Linked DNA regions of Xenopus tropicalis. The protein of the gene in region 2 purifies or fractionates together with the protein of the main gene of each other region. This does not show direct contact. Links are inferred from orthologs where the notes say so. Each region holds a gene or a part of one and is shown on either strand. Other genes may lie near its edges.

What was found.
Region 1: the proteins of pomk (region 2) and lrp6 purify together in Homo sapiens (affinity purification with mass spectrometry; 3 studies listed by BioGRID and IntAct, counting the BioPlex papers as one, with this or other methods). This does not show direct contact. The link is inferred for Xenopus tropicalis from reciprocal best matches to the Homo sapiens genes POMK and LRP6.

What each region holds. Positions count from the first base shown.
Region 1 is NC_030679.2:8,212,314-8,223,521, reverse strand, and holds part of lrp6 (low-density lipoprotein receptor-related protein 6), read left to right. Parts: coding exon 1-94; intron 95-668; coding exon 669-880; intron 881-1,813; coding exon 1,814-2,004; intron 2,005-2,291; coding exon 2,292-2,501; intron 2,502-2,684; coding exon 2,685-2,813; intron 2,814-4,841; coding exon 4,842-5,078; intron 5,079-5,694; coding exon 5,695-5,805; intron 5,806-6,567; coding exon 6,568-6,798; intron 6,799-8,233; coding exon 8,234-8,370; intron 8,371-8,467; coding exon 8,468-8,565; intron 8,566-9,902; coding exon 9,903-10,194; 3' UTR 10,195-11,208. UniProt on the Homo sapiens protein: Component of the Wnt-Fzd-LRP5-LRP6 complex that triggers beta-catenin signaling through inducing aggregation of receptor-ligand complexes into ribosome-sized signalosomes.
Region 2 is NC_030677.2:96,029,156-96,041,146, forward strand, and holds pomk (protein O-mannose kinase), read right to left. Parts: upstream 6,753-11,991; 5' UTR 6,665-6,752; intron 6,544-6,664; exon of another isoform or gene 6,456-6,543; intron 2,635-6,455; 5' UTR 2,609-2,634; coding exon 2,324-2,608; intron 1,318-2,323; coding exon 544-1,317; 3' UTR 369-543; downstream 1-368. Other genes in the region: hgsnat (heparan-alpha-glucosaminide N-acetyltransferase), read left to right, coding at 7,111-7,237. UniProt on the Homo sapiens protein: Protein O-mannose kinase that specifically mediates phosphorylation at the 6-position of an O-mannose of the trisaccharide (N-acetylgalactosamine (GalNAc)-beta-1,3-N-acetylglucosamine (GlcNAc)-beta-1,4-mannose) to generate phosphorylated O-mannosyl trisaccharide (N-acetylgalactosamine-beta-1,3-N-acetylglucosamine-beta-1,4-(phosphate-6-)mannose).

The DNA.
Region 1 (11,208 bases), on a different chromosome or scaffold from region 2:
CGTCCGAGCCATCGACTACGACCCTTTGGAGAAGCAGCTCTACTGGATTGACTCGCGGCAGAATATACGCCGGGCTCAGGAAGATGGCAGCCAGGTACAATTAGCCTCAATTGGGCTTTATTTTATTTAATTGTTTAGCTTTTTGTCTGGTTGCTAGGGTCCAGTGGCCCCCCAAGATCATTTACCCAGCCCTGCTGCGTCCTCAACCATGGCTATTACCTGTCTGACCAGTCCTCAGCCCCAGGGTGTCGCGTCCAACGTAATTAGAGTTGGCCGGTGCGACTCCAGACAGGTAGTAGCCAGGGGTGAAGACACAGCGGGGCGCAGGGGCCGAGGGCTGGAGTTTGAGGACTGAATATAGTCTGGCCCCCCAACAGACTGAGTGACTATGGACTGGCCCCCGGTTTAAAAAGTTTGAGGACCCATGATCTAGAACATCATGAGTTTAAACACCTTATGAGTCACATGGCTTTCTCCCATCTGTATATTGTATATATGTATATATGTGTTGTAAAGAATGTTCGGCATTGTGTCTTCATATGATTAGCTTGTGTATCACAAGGGTTATGGATATGGGACATCAGCAGGTTTCAGTCTGCATCATAAGCTGCACAAATAACACTGATACTAACAACATCCTTTTATTCTTTACCTGTCCCTTTTCACAGAGCATGACCGTAGTGGCAAGCACCGTCCCCAACCAGAATATAGACATGCAGCCGTACGATTTGAGCATCGATGTCTACAGTCGCCTGATTTACTGGACCTGCGAAGCCACCAATGTCATCAACGTCACGCGGCTGGACGGGAGAGCCATCGGGGTGGTTCTAAAGGGAGAACAAGACCGTCCCAGAGCTATCCTTGTGAATCCAGAGAGAGGGTAGGAAATACAGAACTTTATCTACGCATAGTTTATTCTTTTTCCCTGATCTACAATCAGGTCTGTGGTGGTGGGTACCTACAGAACCACCCACAAGATGGTTTGTTTTGGGGCACAGCTGCACTCACCCGCAATTTTCTGTGGTGCAAAGTCTTCTAGATGTATGGCAACGCCCCAACAATGTATAGAACAAAGCAGAAATAGAGACTGCACTCAAGCAAAATTTCAGCTGAGGAGCTTACCCCATTGCCAATGTACCATAAAAATAATCAACGTTTCGGGGTGGGGGGGCGCTCCCTCCCTTCGTCAGCATAACCACAGTTTTTTAAAAAGTCAGATACAAAAAAGACCAATATAAATAAATAAATATAAATTTCTGCAGAAGTCCGTTCTTACAGTATAAATGTCAGTTGTTTGTGAAAAAGTTCAGCCATGGTCGGACTGGGCCACCGGGACACCGGTAAAAATCCCGGTGGGCCCCAGCGGCCCAGACCCAACCCTTGTGGCGCTCCCCCTGCACGACCGCTCCTGTCCCCACGTGTTAAATTTACGCGCTCGGGGAAGAACGTCAGGTGGGGGAACCTGCGAGGGGGGTTAGGGGGGCCCCTCCAGGGGGGGGGAGGCTATGGGCGTTGGCCATATGGGCAGGCTATGGGCACGGGCCCCGGTGGGCCCTTCACCCCCCAGTCCGACCCTGAGTTCAGCACCCTGAGTTCAAAAACAAAAAATGACCAATATAAATTTGTCTGTTTTGGGGCAGATCTGCCTTGATTTCCTGACTGTGTGGGTAGTTTCTTTGCTTATGGAGTTGGGATATGGTGTATAATTTGAAAAAATTAAATATTGTGAACCATTTACACTTCCAGGTTAATGGGCCGGTAGGGGTTCTGAACCAGCTTTGCATTGAAACTCCCATTTGCTTTGATCTTCTAGGTACATGTATTTCACCAACCTCCAGGAGCGATCGCCAAAAATCGAAAGAGCTGCTCTTGATGGGACAGAGCGAGAGGTGCTGTTTTTCACCGGCCTGAGCAAACCAGTGGCGCTTGCGCTCGACAACAAAATGGGGAAACTTTTCTGGGCCGACTCTGACTTGAGGAGGATCGAAAGCAGTGACCTATCCGGTAAAGTGCGAGAATAGCGAATTTATAGGACTAAAACTGAAAATGACAGTTATGAGTTCTAGTATGGTTCCGTTCTGTGGTCTAGTACCAACTTAATGGGAAAGTAAGAATGCTGTGTGATTTTAATCACATGCTTTCCGTTTGGATAGAGTGATTCCTACTTCATTCATTGTTCCAAGTGCATTTATTACATATTTTTTTTGCATACCTAGTTTTGATCGTTACAGTAAAATGGCCTTTAATTATGTTATTGGTCAACGCTTACACTGCTCTCTGGTACTTTCCAGGTGGCCATCGCATAGTTCTAGAAGATTCTAACGTGCTGCAGCCAGTCGGACTCACTGTTTTTGGCAATCACCTGTATTGGATTGACCGGCAACAACAAATGATTGAGCGCATTGAGAAAACCGGACGCGTGGGTCGCACCAAGATCCAAGCTCGTATCCCTCTGCTGACTGATATCCATGCTGTGACAGAACTGAGCATGGACGAATACAGTTAGTATCCACTTATTAATACTAATTTCCTTTTCTGTAGATACGTTTTGGAGTTGCTAAGCAACAACCACTTCAAATATTAGAATTATTTAGTAAAATTACAAATCTTGGGGTATTAAGCTTTGAAATTTGGAATCATGGCCTTGTTTTCTCATTGTTCTTTTCCCTTTTCTGTTTTAACAGAGGAACACCCTTGTTCCCAGGATAACGGGGGCTGCTCCCACATCTGCATAGTGAAAGGAGATGGAACCACCCGCTGTTCTTGCCCGATGCACCTTGTCCTTCTGCAGGAAGATGAGTTGTCCTGTGGGGGTGAGTGCTGTGTAGATTTATTTTGTATTACTGCTAATCATATATATATAGAATCTCAGCCATAAAGCAGGGCAGGACTGCTGCTTACAATGGGGGGATCAGATAGGATCTGTGCCACTGTGACAGAATGTTCTGTTATACAGATAGCTAGAATCTCAGCCATAAAGCAGGGCAGGACTGCTGCTTACAATGGGGGGATCAGATAGGATCTGTGCCACTGTGACAGAATGCTCTGTTATACAGATAGCTAGAATCTCAGCCATAAAGCAGGGCAGGACTGCTGCTTACAATGGGGGGATCAGATAGGATCTGTGCCACTGTGACAGAATGCTCTGTTATACAGATAGCTAGAATCTCAGCCATAAAGCAGGGCAGGACTGCTGCTTACAATGGGGGGATCAGATAGGGTCTGTGCCACTGTGACAGAATGCTCTGTTATACAGATAGCTAGAATCTCAGCCATAAAGCAGGGCAGGACTGCTGCTTACAATGGGGGGGATCAGATAGGATCTGTGCCACTGTGACAGAATGCTCTGTTATACAGATAGCTAGAATCTCAGCCATAAAGCAGGGCAGGACTGCTGCTTACAATGGGGGGGGGATCAGATAGGATCTGTGCCACTGTGACAGAATGCTCTGTTATACAGATAGCTAGAATCTCAGCCATAAAGCAGGGCAGGACTGCTGCTTACAATGGGGGGGATCAGATAGGATCTGTGCCACTGTGACAGAATGCTCTGTTATACAGATAGCTAGAATCTCAGCCATAAAGCAGGGCAGGACTGCTGCTTACAATGGGGGGGGATCAGATAGGATCTGTGCCACTGTGACAGAATGCTCTGTTATACAGATAGCTAGAATCTCAGCCATAAAGCAGGGCAGGACTGCTGCTTACAATGGGGGGATCAGATAGGATCTGTGCCACTGTGACAGAATGCTCTGTTATACAGATAGCTAGAATCTCAGCCATAAAGCAGGGCAGGACTGCTGCTTACAATGGGGGGATCAGATAGGATCTGTGCCACTGTGACAGAATGCTCTGTTATACAGATAGCTAGAATCTCAGCCATAAAGCAGGGCAGGACTGCTGCTTACAATGGGGGGGGATCAGATAGGATCTGTGCCACTGTGACAGAATGCTTTGTTATACAGATAGCTAGAATCTCAGCCATAAAGCAGGGCAGGACTGCTGCTTACAATGGGGGAATCAGATAGGATCTGTGCCACTGTGACAGAATGCTCTGTTATACAGATAGCTAGAATGTCAGCCATAAAGCAGGGCAGGACTGCTGCTTACAATGGGGGGATCAGATAGGATCTGTGCCACTGTGACAGAATGCTCTGTTATACAGATAGCTAGAATCTCAGCCATAAAGCAGGGCAGGACTGCTGCTTACAATGGGGGGATCAGATAGGATCTGTGCCACTGTGACAGAATGCTCTGTTATACAGATAGCTAGAATCTCAGCCATAAAGCAGGGCAGGACTGCTGCTTACAATGAGGACCCTCAAAGCTATACAACCCCATGATACTGTGTTCTTTTCTGATTCCACTGCCAGAGGCTTCTGTTGTAACCGGCCGGCTCTTCGCCCTGGGTCACATTTGCTCTATTTTGCTTGTAGGTTACTAGAGGTCAGAGCACTCAATGAAAGTCATTGTTTGTGTAACAGAATATTAGTGCCTGTGCTAGGCCATTAAGGGATTAGATTCTGTCTGTTATAGTATTCAGGCCATACGGTAACTGCAAAAACACACCCTGTTTGTTTTTATATAAGGTTTGTCTTCTGGTTTCTTTCATTGATACAAAATTGGGTACAGGGTATTGCTACTATACGCAGAATTACCCAGAGAAAGCATGTGTGTGCATTTCCGCTTTCTGACACTGCCATCTAGTGGTTACAATTGGGACATCCAATCCTGTGGCTATATTTTGATTTTTTTTATGTGTCTATTCTTTGCGTATATCTAGATGTACCCTAAAATGTTATTAAGTGGGTATAACATAATTTCCTTTATTTTCCCCACAGAGCCTCCTACCTGCTCTCCCCTGCAGTTCACCTGTTTCACCGGCGAGGTTGATTGCATCCCGGCGGAATGGCGCTGCGACGGCTTTACAGAATGCGAGGATCACAGCGACGAGCAGAACTGCCCCATGTGCTCGGACACGCAGTACCAGTGCGCCAGCGGCCAGTGCATTGACTCCTCTCTGCGCTGTAACGGAGAAGCCAACTGTCAGGACAAGTCTGATGAGAAAAACTGCAATGGTACGGGCTTGCTTCTGAAAATGGTTTTATTCAGACATTCATTTGTTGGTGTTTGAATCCCCCCCCTTATATGCATTGAAGAGTTTGTGAAAGCACTCTTAAAAGAGGCCTGTTGGGAAAAGAAAGTGGGGTTCATTTATTAACACTGGGCAAATTTGCCCATGGGCATTAGCTCATGGCAACCAATGAAATTGTTGCATTCATTGTTGTATATGCAGCTGGCTGAAAAAAGCCAGTCACTGATTGGTCGCTATGGGTTACTACCCACGGGCAAATTTGCCCAGTGTTGATAAATGAGCCCCAGTGTCTTTTAGGGTGAAGACGCACGGAGCTACTAGTAGCATCTACTTGTCGTGGCTACTAAAATAGACAATGCTGATCATTTACTGATAATTGTCTGTACTTGTGTTTTAGCAGAGGCAATTCTCAGTATTGTCTATGGCAGGGGATTTTCTGGCTTTTAGTAGCCATGGCAAGTAGCTGCTACTAAGTAGCTCTGTGTGTCTTTACCCCTAAGGTACCAGTGATGTGAAATGAATAAGCTAAGTTGACACACTGAACCAGTCAATTATGAAGGCTGCTAATAATGAAGATGCTTTTTCTGGTCTTTCTGCAGAAGTCTGTGCTCCAGACCAGTTCCACTGTGGCAGCGGACAGTGCATCGGGAAGCACAGGCGTTGTGACCTCAGCCCGGACTGCAGTGACAGCTCAGACGAGCAAGCTTGCTGTAAGTGCTGCTATTATAACTGCTGGCCTAAGTTTCAGTAATAAAGTTGTCAGCAAAAAGTCATATAGTGTGTGTGTTCTGTTACAAACCTGGCATGTCACATTCGGGGTCCTGCAGAGATTTGGGACTTGTATTTAAGGGTGAAGAGACACGGAGCTAATGTAGCAGCTACTTGTCGTGGCTACTAAAACAGACAATGCTGATCATTTACTGATAATTGTCTCTACGTGTGTTTTAGCAGAGGCAATTCTCAGTATTGTCTATGGCAGGGTATTTTCTGGGGTTTAGTAGCCGTGACAAGTAGCTGCTACTAAGTAGCTGTGTGTCTTTACCCTAAAAGTTGCATGGGAGTCTCAAGCTTGCCATTGCACTTTAGCACCCCTGAAGGGTGAAGACACCCAGTAGCCCTAGTAGCAGCTACTTGTCGTGGCTACTAAAATAGACAATGCTGATCATTTACTGATAACTGTCTCTACATGTGTTTTAGCAGAGGCAATCCTCTGTATTGTCTATGGCAGGGGATTTTCTGGTGCTTAGTAGGTGTGAAAAAGTAGCTGCTTCTAGTAGCTCTGTGTGTCTTCACCCTTTAGATGTTGATGTGCAACTATCAGCATCAGCCAAATATTGCCATGATATTCTGGGAGTTGTATTTGAACCTTTGCCTTGATGCAAGCTGTGCATACCTCTCCTAATCTGCAAGGCTAAAGGCTCTCTCCAGGCCTACTCTTCAACTCTCCACACAATTTATTTTACATTTTCCAGATCCCACAGAGGAACCACCTCCTCCATCGACCAACACCATCGGCTCCATCATCGGCGTGATCCTCACCGTATTCGTAGTAGGGGGAGTGTATTTTATCTGTCAGCGAGTGCTGTGTCGTCGCATGAAAGGAGACGGGGAGACCATGGCCAACGATTATGTGGTGCATGGACCCGCCTCCGTCCCCTTAGCATACGTGCCACATCCGAGCTCCCTGACTGGATCCTTGCCTGGTGAGTACAGAGCCGGTGACTCCAGCACCAAAATGCCTGCTGTTTATTTTCCAAGATGGTACTCTTTCCATTTAGATACAATAAATATAATGCTGAATGCTCTTGTACAGGTATAGGACCTGTTATCCAGAATGCTCGAGACCAAGGGTATTCCGGATAAGGGGTCTTTCCGTAATTTGTATCTTCATACCTTAAGACTACTAAAAAAATCAATAAAACATAAATTAAACACAATAGGATTGTTCTGCCCCCAATAAGGGGTAATTATATCTTAGTTGGGATCAAGTACAGGTACTGTTTTATTATTACAGAGAAAAGGGAATCATTTAACCATTAAATAAACCCAATAGGGCTGTTCTGCCCCAATAAGGGGTAATTATATCTTAGTTGGGATCAAGTACAGGTACTGTTTTATTATTACAGAGAAAAGGGAATCATTTAACCATTAAATAAACCCAATAGGACTGTTCTGCCCCAATAAGGGGTAATTATATCTTAGTTGGGATCAAGTACAGGTACTGTTTTATTATTACAGAGAAAAGGGAATCATTTAACCATTAAATAAACCCAATAGGGCTGTTCTGCCCCAATAAGGGGTAATTATATCTTAGTTGGGATCAAGTACAGGTACTGTTTTATTATTACAGAGAAAAGGGAATCATTTAACCATTAAATAAACCCAATAGGGCTGTTCTGCCCCAATAAGGGGTAATTATATCTTAGTTGGGATCAAGTACAGGTACTGTTTTATTATTACAGAGAAAAAGGAAATCCGTTTCAAATTTCTAAATTATTATGATTAAAATGGAGTCTATGGGAGACCGGATTTCCATAATTTGGAGCTTTCTGGATAACAGGTTAAGGGATCCCATGCCTGTATTGACTGCCAGTCCATGCAGGAACCTGCTTGTAATGGATCATTTCCTCCACTCGCAGGTTTTTTTGTTATGAGGCCTTTCATGTGGTTTTGTGCATTCTCCAGCTCACATACAAAGTTAAACAGAAATAAATCTAGGGGTGGGGATAAAAAAAAAAAAGATCCCCTGCAGCTTGGCTCCTTGCGATGATTCCTTCTCGCCCCTTTGTTGTGGGGTTTTTATCCTCCCGCTGCCTTTAATGCGAGGATGCAGCAAAGTTTCCAGTTCTTCTATTAAACAGCGAGAGCATCTTGTTGCATTGTGTGCGCAGCAGTGTCATGTAACAGCTGCGGGCCATTGTGGGAAGAGATCACAGAGCTGTACTTTCCATGGGCCATTCATTAGTAGAAAGCCATTAAACTCTGTTGAAACCAGCTTAAGTAACAGGGATCCAACCGCTGCGCCAGATGAGGGTGAAATACAAAGGGGTGTTGCAGTTTAACAATGCAGTGATGAATCATTTCTAAGGTCTGCTGATGCAGAAAGCACTTATCTAAGCACTCTCTTGCTTAACACAGGGATGTCTCGTGGGAAATCTGTTATCAGCTCTCTCAGCATTATGGCTGGAAGCAGCGGGCCACCGTATGACCGGGCTCATGTGACCGGAGCCTCATCCAGCAGCTCCTCCAGCACTAAAGGAACCTATTTCCCACCGGTAGGTATCCAGCTGCCGTGTTTCCTACCCCATACGGTGTTTATACATAAACAGAAGATGTTCCATAAACCTGAATATTCTTTTCCTTTGGTTATAGATCTTGAACCCACCTCCCTCCCCAGCCACGGAGCGTTCCCATTACACAATGGAATTTGGTTACTCCTCAAACAGTCCTTCCACCCACAGATCATACAGGTGAGTGCATTTTTTACTCCAGTCCCCCCCCCACAGTATCTAGAAGGCCCTGCTGTAGGCTGCTACTAGAGAGGGACTTTTTTTCTACAACTGGCTGCTTCTTTGTTGCTGGGGCAGTCTCAGCTCAGCTTGGGGCTATTCATATATATATCTAAGTCCCTGTGTGTTTCGAGCACTAACAGTGCTCTTCTTCAGGGAAAAAACAGTTTTTCCCTGAAGAAGAGCGCCGTTAGTGCTTGAAACGTCGGATCTTTTTCAATAAATACTTTTTTTTTTTTTTTTTTTTTTTTTGCAAAGTCCCAGTGTGTGCGGCCCTCTGCTTTTGCCAGCACCCAGGGATTTGGATTCTCTGGATGGTGTGCTCCGTTTGTTCCTGTGTATATATACACAAACGATCGAGTTGTAACGACCGTGGGAGTGAATCCAAAACATGTGTATTGGAGACACACTGTGCACTACCCCATGTGTATTGGAGACACACTGTGCACTACCCCATGTGTATTGGAGACACACTGTGCACTACCCCATGTGTATTGGACACACACTGTGCACTCCCCCATGTGTATTGGAGACACACTGTGCACTACCCCATGTGTATTGGAGACACACTGTGCACTACCCCATGTGTATTGGACACACACTGTGCACTCCCCCATGTGTATTGGAGACACACTGTGCACTCCCCCATGTGTATTGGAGACACACTGTGCACTACCCCATGTGTATTGGACACACACTGTGCACTACCCCATGTGTATTGGAGACACACTGTGCACTCCCCCATGTGTATTGGAGACACACTGTGCACTCCCCCATGTGTATTGGACACACACTGTGCACTACCCCATGTGTATTGGAGACACACTGTGCACTACCCCATGTGTATTGGACACACACTGTGCACTACCCCACATCACATAAGGTCCCCATACACCTTAAGACGCCAAGCGAGCGGATCTTCTCCCGATATACCCCACCTACGGGTGGGCGATATCGGGAGAATCCGGGCTAATTTGATTGTTTGGCACTGGGGCCAAACAATCAAATTATAACGACGGGTATAGGCAAAGTCGGTTCAGGGACTGCATCAGCGAGCCGATGCGGTCCTCGATCCGACTAAAGTTTTAAACCTGCCCGATTTCAGGCCAGATATCAGTCAGACAGGCCCGTCGTTAGTGCCCCTACACGGGGCGATAAACTGCCGAATCGGTCTAAGGGACCCATATCGGCAGCTAGAATCGGCCTGTGTATGGGGACCTTAACATGTCAAAATCATTATATTCCTGGGGATAAAAAGCAGTCTGCTATATTTCCTAATGTTTCTCTTTCTTCCTCAGCTACAGACCCTACAGCTACCGGCATTTTGCCCCTCCTACAACTCCCTGCAGCACCGACGTGTGCGACAGCGACTACACCCCCAGCCACCGGATCACCTCCGCCGCGGCGAAGGGCTACACCAGCGATCTCAACTACGACTCGGAACCGGTGCCTCCGCCTCCAACCCCCCGCAGCCAGTACCTTTCAGCCGAGGAGAACTACGAAAGCTGCCCGCCCTCTCCCTACACGGAACGAAGCTACTCTCACCACCTTTACCCCCCTCCTCCGTCACCTTGTACAGACTCTTCCTGAGACCCCCCCACTCTGTAAATACTGTATGAAGAGAGAGTACTTTCCCAATCTAACCCCCCGGCCCCCGTTGTGTATAGTTTCCAGAACCATGAACCCCTCCAGAGGAGGGCAGAAGGGTCTCCGACAATGGACGTTTGTACAGAGACGATAAAAAAAAAAACAACAAATATTTATATTTTCTTAACCCTTTTTACACCTCTTCATACTTGTGCCATAAATGTAACGCTTATATTTCCATCCTTCCCCGGAAAGGGCAATCCCCTTGCCTTTTTGTGTGGAAGAAATCCCATGACCACTGAAACAGTAATTTGTACAAATATATATATATATATATATATCTCTATATAAATATCTATTTTTGCAAATGGAATACACAAAATGCCTTAAATAGACGGATAGGATAGGAAGAGGTCTTTAATACCAAAAAAAAAAAAAAATGCACGTGAGCACAGACCAGCGGATTTTAGAGAATGGTTCTTAATTGTTTTTATTTTTTTTTTAACCCTTTCTTTCCTCCATTCGACTGGTGCCAAGCTTAGGCGCAGAGCAAGCCTGCCCCCTCTTGGCGGTTATGGGGATAACATGGAATCTCTGCTACATGAAAGCCCAGTAGCTTCACTGGTCCCTTATCCCACCATATTAAATTACATTTTACTCCAGCTGCCCCTTAAAAGCCTGTATGCCTGCCCTGTATCCAGGTATCAATATACCTGGATACAGGGCAGACATACAGGCTTGTACTGTGGCTATATGGGAGTGCATCAAGCTGACTTGGGCTTGTATAATTGATTGAGTGGCAACAATAATTGTTTAATTTGTGTATTTTATTTTATGATTTTATCTTTGACTTGAGGGCCAAAGAAGGTTGCTAGAAAGATTTTTTAGCAGCCAGCCGTTTGATTCTTCCCCCCCCGACCACGTAACCACTACAGTGTAGCCGTACCACTACCACAAAGCGCTACCGATACCACTAAACCGCCCCAAGGGGGCGCTACTGGGAAGACAATAGAGGTG
Region 2 (11,991 bases):
GAGGAGGCATATGGAATTTAAGGGTATATCTTAATATGACATAATTCTTTCACATATGAATGATGGTTGATATCCCCACTGTAAGGACCAAGCATTTGGGATTTTGCTGTGCTACCACCATTGTGATAAAATAGGTGTGGTTTGAAGTGGGTGTGGTTTCAAAAAGGGGAGTGGTCAAAACTGGCTTCCATTAGCGGCCCTCCACCATGTATGCTAGAGAAATTCCGGCCCTCGGCACCATAGAAGTTGGACAGCACTGTACTATTGTATGTTAGAAAGCTCTGTGTCAGTGCACTTGATCAAAGTGATTCTCTGATAAAAATAAACACTGCAATAGTTTTAATGACACTTGTCTATGGGAGACTTAATGAGAAAAATAATTTTCTGCGTTACTAAAAATTAGTATTAATGTAGAAAATGATTCCTATAGCAGAAGTTTGTAAATCTGCCCCATAGTGTGTAACTTCTCTTGTGTATTTTCTACTACTGGAGCACAAAACAGTTCTACTGAAATTCTTACGTTAAATGTGGTCTAATATTACTTTATAACATCTCTCGAGTTTCTGCCACTGCCATCTCTTTCATTAATAAAGCCAAGACTCTCTTGTAGGTGTCTAACACCATCTGAGTTGAAGGTCTTTCAGATGGGTTATTTTTACCACACTCAGAGTGGATGTCGAACAGATGGAACCTAACAATGTCACTTCCTTGCACATGACCCAAAAGGTGATCAGTCACAGCTGGAATCTTCCAAATATCAGTCTTCTCATCATATGAAGGCATTATGTCATTTGAGAATTCAACATTTGGCCCATAGGGCCACAACTGTTCAGGAGCAACAAAATGTCCAGTTATTTCCCTTTGGCCACACTTGACCAAAATGCCATTTTCCCTGTCCACTACAGGCAAAGCATCAAGATCATTAGCTACTACATGAAAGTCACTTGTCAGCATGTATTGAGACAGTACCTTGTCCAAATCATTGGAATCACACATGACCAGAGTGCCATGGGGGCTAGTATGAAGATAGTTAATGATGCTAACATACTCCATTGCAAGTTTAAGGCGATTCTGCCACGTGTTGAAGCCTTGGTATTTAGGAAAACTAAAAGTTTTGTCCAAGTCTTTCAAGGAACCAAGTGGGTGATATTCAGTCAGTATGCTAAATGTCTCTTTACAATATCCAACAAGGACCACAACATTTCTGCTTTGCAGTGACTGCAGCATCCTTAATCCATGGAGGAAATCATCCTGCAGATCTAGCGATTTTAATTCTGAAAGAGCAACTTTCATGCCCTTCCACTCAGACAAAAATACCTGAAATGAATGGGAACCAAAAATCAACAGAGCACACTTCAGAAAAGAAACTCACTCTTTGTTGCTTCAGGTGCACTCTAAAGTTTTCTGCATGGGTTCCAATGAACTTATACATATGCTCTACTGCTTTGGAGCTGCCATGTATTACAGTTGGTGGTATATTTCCCCAACACACTTAGCAAGGGCCAGTAAGCAACTGTGAAAGGCAGGAGACAGAATGCATGGAAGCCAGTGCCCCATAGAAAACTACATAAAAAATACCTTTGCTTTCATATAAAAGTTGCTTTTATAGGTGTCTACAGAGAATGTCTGAAGACGAGAGATGTATCAAAATACGAATATGCTGCCCTTAAATTGCCTGGAAACTATGAATATAGTTTAAATTAGAGAGTCTGTTTAGTATTATTCTAAACAGGACCACAGCAATACAGGTGTCATGTATGTAGTGCATCTTCAATCTAACTACAGGCACATATTCCCAGGATGTTACCTAATGGCAAGTAGAACACACCATACAGTGTAGAAGAAAACTTACCAGCACTTAAGACTCAATGCAAGCAGGGATAAGCCATGTATATTTAATTAAACATTATTTCTGATGAAGGGCTGTGTTCCTAAAATATTACATTTGATTAAATATGCAGTGGTTATTCCCAATTGCATTCAGTCGGTGTGCCTGTAATGATTTCTCCTATGTAATCTTAGGGGTGCTGATCTATATTTTGCACCAGACTTAGGGTGGGTTACTCTTATGCTATAAATTACAGTGCAAATCATGTTGTATTACCTACCTAACCTATTTTATTTATTTTAATTCAACAGAAAAATGTATAAAGCACTTTCTAAAGTTGTAAATATGTTGTTACATTACACAGAATAGTCCAAAAACACTTTAATATGCAGAAGTATTCCCACTTTGGAATAGAATTAAAGCTTGTAGCTGCCATTATATTGGTCGCAGCTATTCTAGAAGTATATATTACTTTTGTCACGTTTTGAAACTTACCTTTTTAACTGCTCCTTCACCAACAAGCTTTAGCTTCCTGACTTCTTTTTCAATAGTCTCACAAGTCAGCCACGGTGAGCAATTTTTCATCGTTGCTATCTTAAAGTGTCCATAAGGACATAGGTTCAGTTCAGAATGGCTGAATTGAGAAGGTGCATAGATTTGTTCAATATACATATACAGCAAGAAGTTAACTGAAACCACTGTGAACAGTAGCATTAGAAAGAGGACAAGCAGGCAATTCCAGCTGCCACTTTTTCTGTTGACATTGAGTTTTCTCTCCATATTTGCTCAGCACTGTATGTAACATTCTGAGGGAAAAAAAGCAAACTTTGTTACTTTTACAAATAAAAAAACATGCATTCAAATAAGAAATATGTTTTTATTGTATCTGTATTTTAACACAACAGTAACTATGACCTTTTTTTTTCATTTAAAGAAATATATTTTACTGTTAAGGTTAAGAGCATATTGTCAGTCTGTGGATACCGTAAGTGGCAAGTCTCTCGTAAGTTTGGCGGATATCAGCTGCGTGTGCCTGTACCCGGACACCCGCTTATCTGCAGGCTGACATTATGCCCGCGTGCCCTTACCCTAGATATATTTTGCATAATCATTTGATTTTTGAAGGCAATACCTAAAATTATATCAAACAAGATATTAAAAAGTATTTAGGCCAGAAAAACAAGAGAATAGTGTCATATTAGGCTGAAACTATAAAAAGTCTTTTTTTGTTCCTGTTTAGCTAATCAAGTGTGTTTTTGTGTTATTGAAGTAGGCTTGGCAGAAATATGTAGATTATGTTGCCCACGTACCCTTCCCATGGCTAGTTAAAGTGTATTACATACTTTATTGTACAGGTATAGGATCAGTTATCCGAAAACCTGTTATCCAGAAAGCTCCAAATTACAGGAAGTTCATCTCCTATAGACTTTTTAAAGGTTTTTATTTGCATTTTTAAACATAAAAACATACAACACTTATAAACATCATGTGGTTCTACATCATGTTGTCCTGGACTGTGTTTATACAAGATAGCGTGTACAATAACATTAGCATTTGACCTGGTTTAGGTTGGTAATCCTAGTGGGAAGAATGCCCCATAGGCTGTAAGGGGGGGTCAAATTAATTAAGTAGCTTCTATCCAGTTCCTACAAATTTTTTCATACTTCTGGGGACACCCCCTTGCAGTCTGTGTAAGTTGAATCAGGGGGAATAGCGTTCTGAGGAGATTTAACCATCTATCTATTGTGGGAGGGGATTGTGCCATCTAGTGTAGCAGTACACATTTTCTAGCGTAGAACAGTAGATTTTGAAATAAGGTTCTTATATGAGCTGTTGGGGTAAGGTCATTAACCACTCCCAGTAGCAAACCTTGGATGTTACGAGGTTTGGGAGGGAGTTTTTTTTTTCTTGGATGTAATCCATTACTTGTGTCCAATAGGATTGAATAGTCTGGCACTGCCAAATGAGATGTATGTAGTTTGCCTCTGGAGCATTGCATTTCAGGCATTTGGGTGATTCACGCCTATTCATGCGGAATAATCTCAGAGGGGTTAAATGGAGTCTGTGTATGATCTTAAACTGTATCAGCCTTTCTCTAGTTGAGACAAGGTAGTCATGGGCCCTATCAGTGGCTTTATCCCAGTCATCATCATCTATCTCTTCGAAGTCCCTATGCCACATTGCGTAGGCTGTCCTAAATGGAGATCTAACTGTTGAGAGAAGCGTATAGCGTTGTGGTAAGTTTTTTGGTTGTAGGGCTTCGAACGGTGAGTTCTATTCTGGATATAGATGAGGGTGGTGTGGTTTTCCTAAATTGTGCCTGGAGGGCATGCCGTAGTTGGAGATAAAGAGTACCATAGGAGTACTGCTTGGGTAGTGTCTAAATTGGTCCCTCAGTGCCAGGGTGTCTCCTACTTGTATGTCTCCCAGTGTACGGATTCCCCATATGGGCCAAATTCTATATGGTGATATTTGCTGGAATAGGGTGTGTTGTTTGGATATCTGCTGGTTTGCAAAATGGGATATATGTTAGTGACTCTATTGAGCTCACTATTGTGGCTTGGAGAGGGAAGTTGGGATTCGAAGGGTCTGGGTTAAGCCACCATTGGATGTAGTATAACTGTGAAACAAGGTAATATAGATACCAGTGTAGGAGACCCAGACCTCCCTCATTGATTGGCTCACTGAGTTTGGTTCTGGCAAATATGGGGGATTTGTTTGCCCCATAGACTCCATTTAGACTCATAATTTAATAAATCAAAATATAAAAAATGATTTATTTTTCTTTTGTAATAATAAAACAGTGCCTTGTACTTGATCCCAACTAAGATAAAATGAATCCTTATTGGAGGCAAATCAATCCTATTGGGTTTATTTAATGTTTAAATGATTTTTCAGTAGACAAAGTATGGAGATCCAAATTACAGAAACACCCTTTATCCGGAAAATCACAGTTCCTATTCTGGATAACAGGTCCAATACCTGTATTGCTTTTTCATAGCTGTAGTGAAATTCACTAACAAGAATATTTTGTAAAAATTCTTATGTAAATGTCTTAACATGTAAAAGCTGAGTAAGAGTATTATGCTCTGCAGTGCACCATTGTAGTAAGCGTACCACTGTCTAATTTACAACTATTTATTTTCCCACAATAAACAAAGGTTAGTAAGGTGGTCATACAATGAGCAATCCTCCTCAATATTCAACCAAAAGGACAGGTATTGTACTAACTGACACTATGGCATAGCCACTTTTCTATCGTCAAGTTTTATCAGGCCGGACTAGCAGAACTGAAACAGAGGTTCATTTTAACGTTTTCATCTATTGATGCACCAAGTACTAGTACACTACTAACAGTGTGTAACAGCACATGACATTTTCAACCATGGAACAAAGATATCAGAAGGAACCATCTTCCCATCACATACACAGCAAAATTTATAAAAAATACTTTAACAGTATATTTAAACAATGGTATACACTTGGGCTTAGACAGGCAGACTTTACAAAAGGCCCAAAAAACCCTATTGCCTTAGAGAACTGCCATACAATGGGCTATACTAGTAAACCAAAAATCACTGCCACATTTTTTGATATTATATTATTTGTGTTGTGAAACTACAGACCCAAGGAGGTAGGCATGAAACAATCTTTTAATTTGCTTTAGTTTCTAACATAAAAACATTACATAAAAACACTTTTTCTGTTTCAGTAGCTACTAAGTCACGCACTGTAGATCTGCATCATATGGGGCAACCAGGAGCGACAAATACCTGCAGTTACTAGGTCATCTCTGTAAAAGGACACCTATAGTAAATAGTTTGATGAAACATTGTATGTCACCCTCAATTGGAAAGGCATTTAAAAATGAAGACCAAATGCAAATTATATTGGACTATTACTCTCTACATCATAATAAAAGTTAACTTTATGCTGTGTAAAAAACAGCAACAAAATTTGCAATTTGCAAAAGCAATTCAAAATAAATTACAGTCATCAGTACAATCCTGCAACAGATAATTAATCAGCATTTTATTCTATATATCTTGTGCAACAAAAGCATATATCATAAACGTATATACTGCATAAAAATATGTAGCTAAGAAGTGAAATGCACATAGATAATAAACTGGTTTAGCAGTAAAAACACATCATTTAAGGTGGTAGCTACTATTTACATAGCTGGTTGTACTTCCACCTCAGGGAGAAAGGACTGATATAAGAGTGCCTCTGATCATATTTACAAATGTAATTAAGAAACATTACGAATACATTTTAATTGTATTGATTAATGTTTTTGTGTATTTGCATAGTTAATAAAGTAAGAGTACAATTATAAGATGCACTATTTAACTTTCATTAATAGCTAACACTACAGTACCTTGTTATACAGTGATCAACCAGTATAAATAAATTCAGGTGTTTGCCTTTAAAGAGAACACTGTTTTTGAGGTCCCACAATGGCTTGGTGTTCCCTAACAAAACGTGGATCCACACATCCACTCAAACTCAGTGTAAGGACACTATATACTATATAAGTATACAGGACACTCTGCAAGTGAAATATAGAGACCACAATGGTGCAATACTAATAATAAATGGCTGCACACACTCAGATCCTACTTACACAGTGCATCTTCTACATTTGCATGTCACAGTTAATTTGCAGCAACGTGTCTTTCCTCTCCACCCTCCAGCACCTAAACAGTTAAGTGCTAATAGTGAAGATTATACCAAGGAGCAAGCAGGATAACGCTTCAGTTCTACTTGTGTGTCCAAAATAACATGCATATCATCCCTTTTCCACCTTTCAGTTCTGCCTGCAGTAACTTTCACCTCTGTGCAGCAGTTCAGTTCTTCTTCCTGTCCTGGTGATTCCTGGTACCATGTGATCACCTACAGCCAATCACACTGTTCCTTCTCCTAGCAAGAGAATCACAACAGAGCAGGGAGGAGGGAGCTGGATCGGGTTTTTAGCAAGCAGAAGCAGGACTGATTCAATCAGGGGCATCTTCAGAACATTGATAGGAAACGCGTTGGGCTATTTTATGTAGTTAATAAATACATGGTTTTAAATATATAGATTGAACCAGTCCTGCTGTTAGCTAGGAGTGAGATCATTACAGGATGTGATGGGGCTGAATCGTGCCAGACAGATCGAGTGAGGGAGTTGTATACAGATCCCAGAGCTGGAAAGAAAAGAGGAAGTCAGGAGACGGCGGTGGAGGCGAAAAAAGAGGTGGAAAAGCCCAGAGAGCAAATCTGGTGGAAGCAGTCCTGGCATGAACACGATGACGTTGCTGTGGCCCCGTTGCTGTTCCACCTATTGGCTTCTTATAGTCTCTGCCCTGAGCATGATTCTACTGGGTACCTGCACCAGCTCTTCCCTCATAAGCCTACCTGCACAGAGTAAGTGAGCAAAGCACTGAGCTCACTTCCTGAATAGTCTATGTAGTATTATTATTACACAGTATGTATTTATATTTTAAAGGGAATCTACACCAAACACTTTTGCCTAATGAAAAAGTAATTCTAAGCCGTTTTTTAATATGCATTTATTATATTTTAACGCGCAAGTCAACCCAAATTATATTTTTTTGCCTAATAAAAAAAAAAAACATAATTCTAAGCCATTTTGCAATATATATTCATTACAAATTTGCAATGGTTTCTGACTTATTCATACATATAATTACTATTAGAAGTAGTGTTTTCCAGTCTTTTTCTGTTCTGTGCCCTTGGTGGCTCTGGCATTTGAAACAATGTAAAGGTGGCCATACACGAGCAGATCTTCCCCCGATATCCCCACCTACGGGTGGGCGATATCGGGGAGCATTTAGGTAAAAAAAAAAATAATCCGATCGTTTGGCCCTGGGGCCAAACGATCGGATTATGTGGGCGGCAATGGGGCAGTCGGATCGGGGACCGCATCAACGAGCCGATGTGGTCCCCGATCCGACTGTATTTTCTAACCTGGCCGATCGAGATCTGGCCAATTTCAGGCCAGATATCGGTCGGCCAGGCTGCTCTGCTCTCCCCATACACGGGCCGATTAGCTGCCGAATCGGTCCAAGGGACCGATATCGGCAGCTATAGTCGGCCCGTGTATGGGGACCTTTACACAAGGCAACAGACTGACAGACCTGTCTTGCAGAGGGAGACTGACCTCTGCAACATTGTTTAAGGAGTCATAACCAGGAGTTCAGCAAATTACATTTACAAATAACTTTTAAAGCACTAAACATTTTCAATAAAGTTGCTTGGAATTATGTTTTCTTTTATTAGGAAAAAAGTTATTTTTGGGGTTGACATGTCCTTTAATAATATGAATTATATTTTGATATATTAATGGTGTATTAAAGTTATTAATTATTATGAGTTATTTCTACTGCAAGCTGTTTCTGTCAGGTTGTTTATATTCTCTGCAGTGTTGGTTCTGAGTCCTGAAACAATGTAGCAGAAGCTGATTAAGGCTCATGGCCCACTGGGAGATAAGTCACCCGTAGTCTTGGCTGCCAAGGGCAACTAATCTCCCTGAAATGCCTTTCCACCAGCAATAAAGGGAATCACTGATGGACAGACATATGCATCGCTTCATTTTCCGAAGTCACATGAAATTGCCTGCAGGAGGAAACTTCGCACCACTTCAGAAAAAGAAAGCAATGCGTATGCCTTTACACCAGTGATTCACTTTGTTGCCGGTGGAAAGGCATTTCAGGGAGACTAGTCGACCACGCTAGCAGAGATTTAACTGTGGGTGACTAATCTCACCGTCAGACATTAGCCTTACAGATTTTATGGGAAAGCTATTTCCATTACAGGTATGGAACCTGTTATCCAGAATGCTCTGGACCATTGGTTTTCCGGATAAGAGATCTTTCCATGGATCTACATAACTTAAGTCTATAGACTTAATATATAATATAATATAAATATTGAATAAACTCAATAGGCTTGTTTTGCCTACAATAAGGATTAACTATATATTAGTTAGGATCAAGTACATGGTTCTGTTTTATAATTACAGAGAAAAAGGATATGGGAGATGGCCATTCCGTAATTCAGAGCTTTCTGGATAACGGGTTTCCGGATAAGGGATCCAGTACCTGTACATTATTTTAACATTAGAAACCGGAGAACAGAAAGGGATGCAAGGGCAGTTTTCAGTTGCTTTTTTATTTACAAATAGTGTTAAAACCACTGGAAATGTTCAGTACAGGTATGGGATCCATTATCTGGAAACCCGTTATCCAGAAAGGCCATATTCCATAGACTTAATAAGCAAATTCTAATTTTTAAGAATAATTTCCTTTTTCTCTGTAATTATAAAACAGTGCCTTGTACTTTATCCAAACTAAAGTATAATTGATCCTTATTGGGGTGCAAAACAATCTTTTTATTTAATATTTGAATGATTTTTAGCAGACTTAAGTTATGGAGATCCGAATTAGGGAAAGATCACTTATCCAGAAAACCCGAGCATTCTGGATAACAGGTCCCATACCTGTATATGTTTATGGGAAAGTTGATTAGGGATTCCTTGTGGATATTCTGAGATGTGCAAATCCACACTTACCAGCACACTCTGGCCTTTCCACTCTGTTCCACCTGGTGCACAGTATTTAGAGAGACTTCGTCACTCTCCACCACTTTCCAAACAGCACAAAAATATCAGCACAACAGGACTTGTTTAAGCGGGATAAATCCTGCTGATTTTTAATAGTAGCAAACCATATAACGTTTTGGGCGAAGGGGTGTGCCCCCGAAACGTTATATGGTTTGCTACTATTAAAAATCAGCAGGGTTTATTACGCTTAAACAAGTCCTGTTGTGTCGGTATTTTTGTGCTATTCTGGGATGTGCACATGTACAGTAGAGTTAAACTGGAACTTAGACACTAAGACAAACTTTACTGTACTGGACCTGTCCACAAACCTGATGGAGGCATAGCACTCAATAGACACACTTGTATTTTTTAGCGAGGAAGTGCAGCAACCCAGGGTCTGAGGTCAGTGATTTAATTACTGGGTGGAGCCTAACATATTAGCACCCCCAGTGATTAATCCTTTTCTAGACAGTAAAATGGCTGTTGAGATATTGGGTGCATTTATAGTATGTGATCACTAAATTCACAAATCAGCAAAGAGTGCACTCCGGAGAACCAAATCAATCAATTGTGATTATTATTTTATACCACAAAACATGTTTCAGATCCACTGATTCTTCATCAGGTGCTTTTACAACAGTGTACCATAACCCAAATTACCTTTAAACCCCACAAAGCCAACAAGTGTGTCAGCTCCATCATGTGGCCAGACTCATAGAAATACATACATCCAATTCAGAGCAATACAGAGCATTGCCATCTACTGGTCTACTCCGATAATGCACCAAACTACTAGTATCATGGGTATATAGTGTATATAGCAAGATATCGAAAAAGCAGGTATCCGTCTCCTACTTACTCTGTCATACAAGACAAGTCCATATGAGATTTCAAAAGTCCATTCTGGAAAATTAAAGGCAAAGTTAGTAATTTTACAAAAAATGCTTAATAGCTTACATGTTCCAATACCAGCCACCTGAGACTTGCACTATTATGTTTGTGCTCAAAAAAGTGTTTAGTCACTGATCTCTTATGTTCACCAATTTTGATTCTTACTTTCCTTATAGTCTGTCCCACATACATTTTACCACATGGGCACTTCAAACCATATACATCATTCTCTGAATTACATGTGTTATACTCTTTTACTCTTTTTTTACTCTGGTAAAGAAAAAAAAAAAGAGTACGTTAAGAGAACTTTATATAATGTGCTTGTGGCGTCAGTCAAAACTGGTTCTTTTTGTATATAATATGCATTAGGTGCCTGCACCCACTGCCTCTCACTGTATAATTTGCTTGTGGTGCAAGAATCCACAGTCTTACTGTTTCGGTGCATGTAGTGCCAACATGTACTGTACTGGCAGCACCTCTCAGTATATAATGTGGTTGGGGTGACGGATTCTGCTGCATCTCACTGTATAATCTGTTTGGGATGTTTACTGCTTTTTACTTTGTCTTGTTCTCATTGTACATTTTGATGGTGATGACATTAACAATTTCTATGCTGGTATATGATAGTGCGCTAAAGTATACTTTATGTTACCAGAGTGTCCTCCAACACCCATGGATATGTTATGCCCTTGTGCAGCACTTTTCATATAAGTGGGCACTCCACTATGCACCTATGAAAAGTATTTGCAACATGTTTAGCAGTAACTAAAGTCACAAAACCTTAACCCAAACTATCACAGAAGAAAAGTATCTGAAGCTCATTTAATAGATATACAATTTCCATTTTGCATCAGTTTATACTTTCCAGCAAATGGTGTAGGAAATGTAGTGGTGCAAAGTTTTCTCCAGGTCTAATAACCCATACTTGACAAAATAGCTATCTGTCCTCCAAACAAACACATCTTTTGTTTCCTATTGATCTGGTATTGTTTTATAACTGGTATTGTTTTCAGGACTGTATATCTTGGCCCATATGCCAGTGTTTGTCATTTTAATCTGTGAGTCAGTTTCAAATCATGAGAGCTTGGCTATGAACATTTGCAAAGCATGTTGCATAATTCTTTACCATGTGTTCTGTTTCCTTATTAAAAACATCAACATCCTCTTTTCAAAGTATTTTTAAAATATCTTGTGAAATATCTTATTTTCCTATTTTATTAAAGAATCACTTTTACCTTCCCCATAAAAGTGCCTCTAGCAATTGTCAGTTATTGCATCATGGATTTAGCTGTTGTAGTCAGAAAGTAGAAGGTATGCATACAAGAACTGGAAAAAGACTACTGAAAATTAATTAGTCACTGTTTTGTTCTCTTTATGAGAAAGGTCTCATAAGGAGATCGAAACGTTGACTAAAAAAATTTAGATTTTTTTTCACTTTTATGACGTCCTTTGAGTGCATATGATATAAGATATATACAGTGTACAGGTATATATAATTTTTTTTTCAGTGGCTTGTTTAGAATCTGTTATAGATTTCTGTGTCACTGAATCTGAGTTGTGAAGGCAAGTAGTGCCTAGTAGTGAGCAGCAGTTCACTGTCATCGCTCTGTGTGCTTTAGATATGGTATTTCGGATTCAGTAATGTTAGCAGTAGATAGGAGTGTGT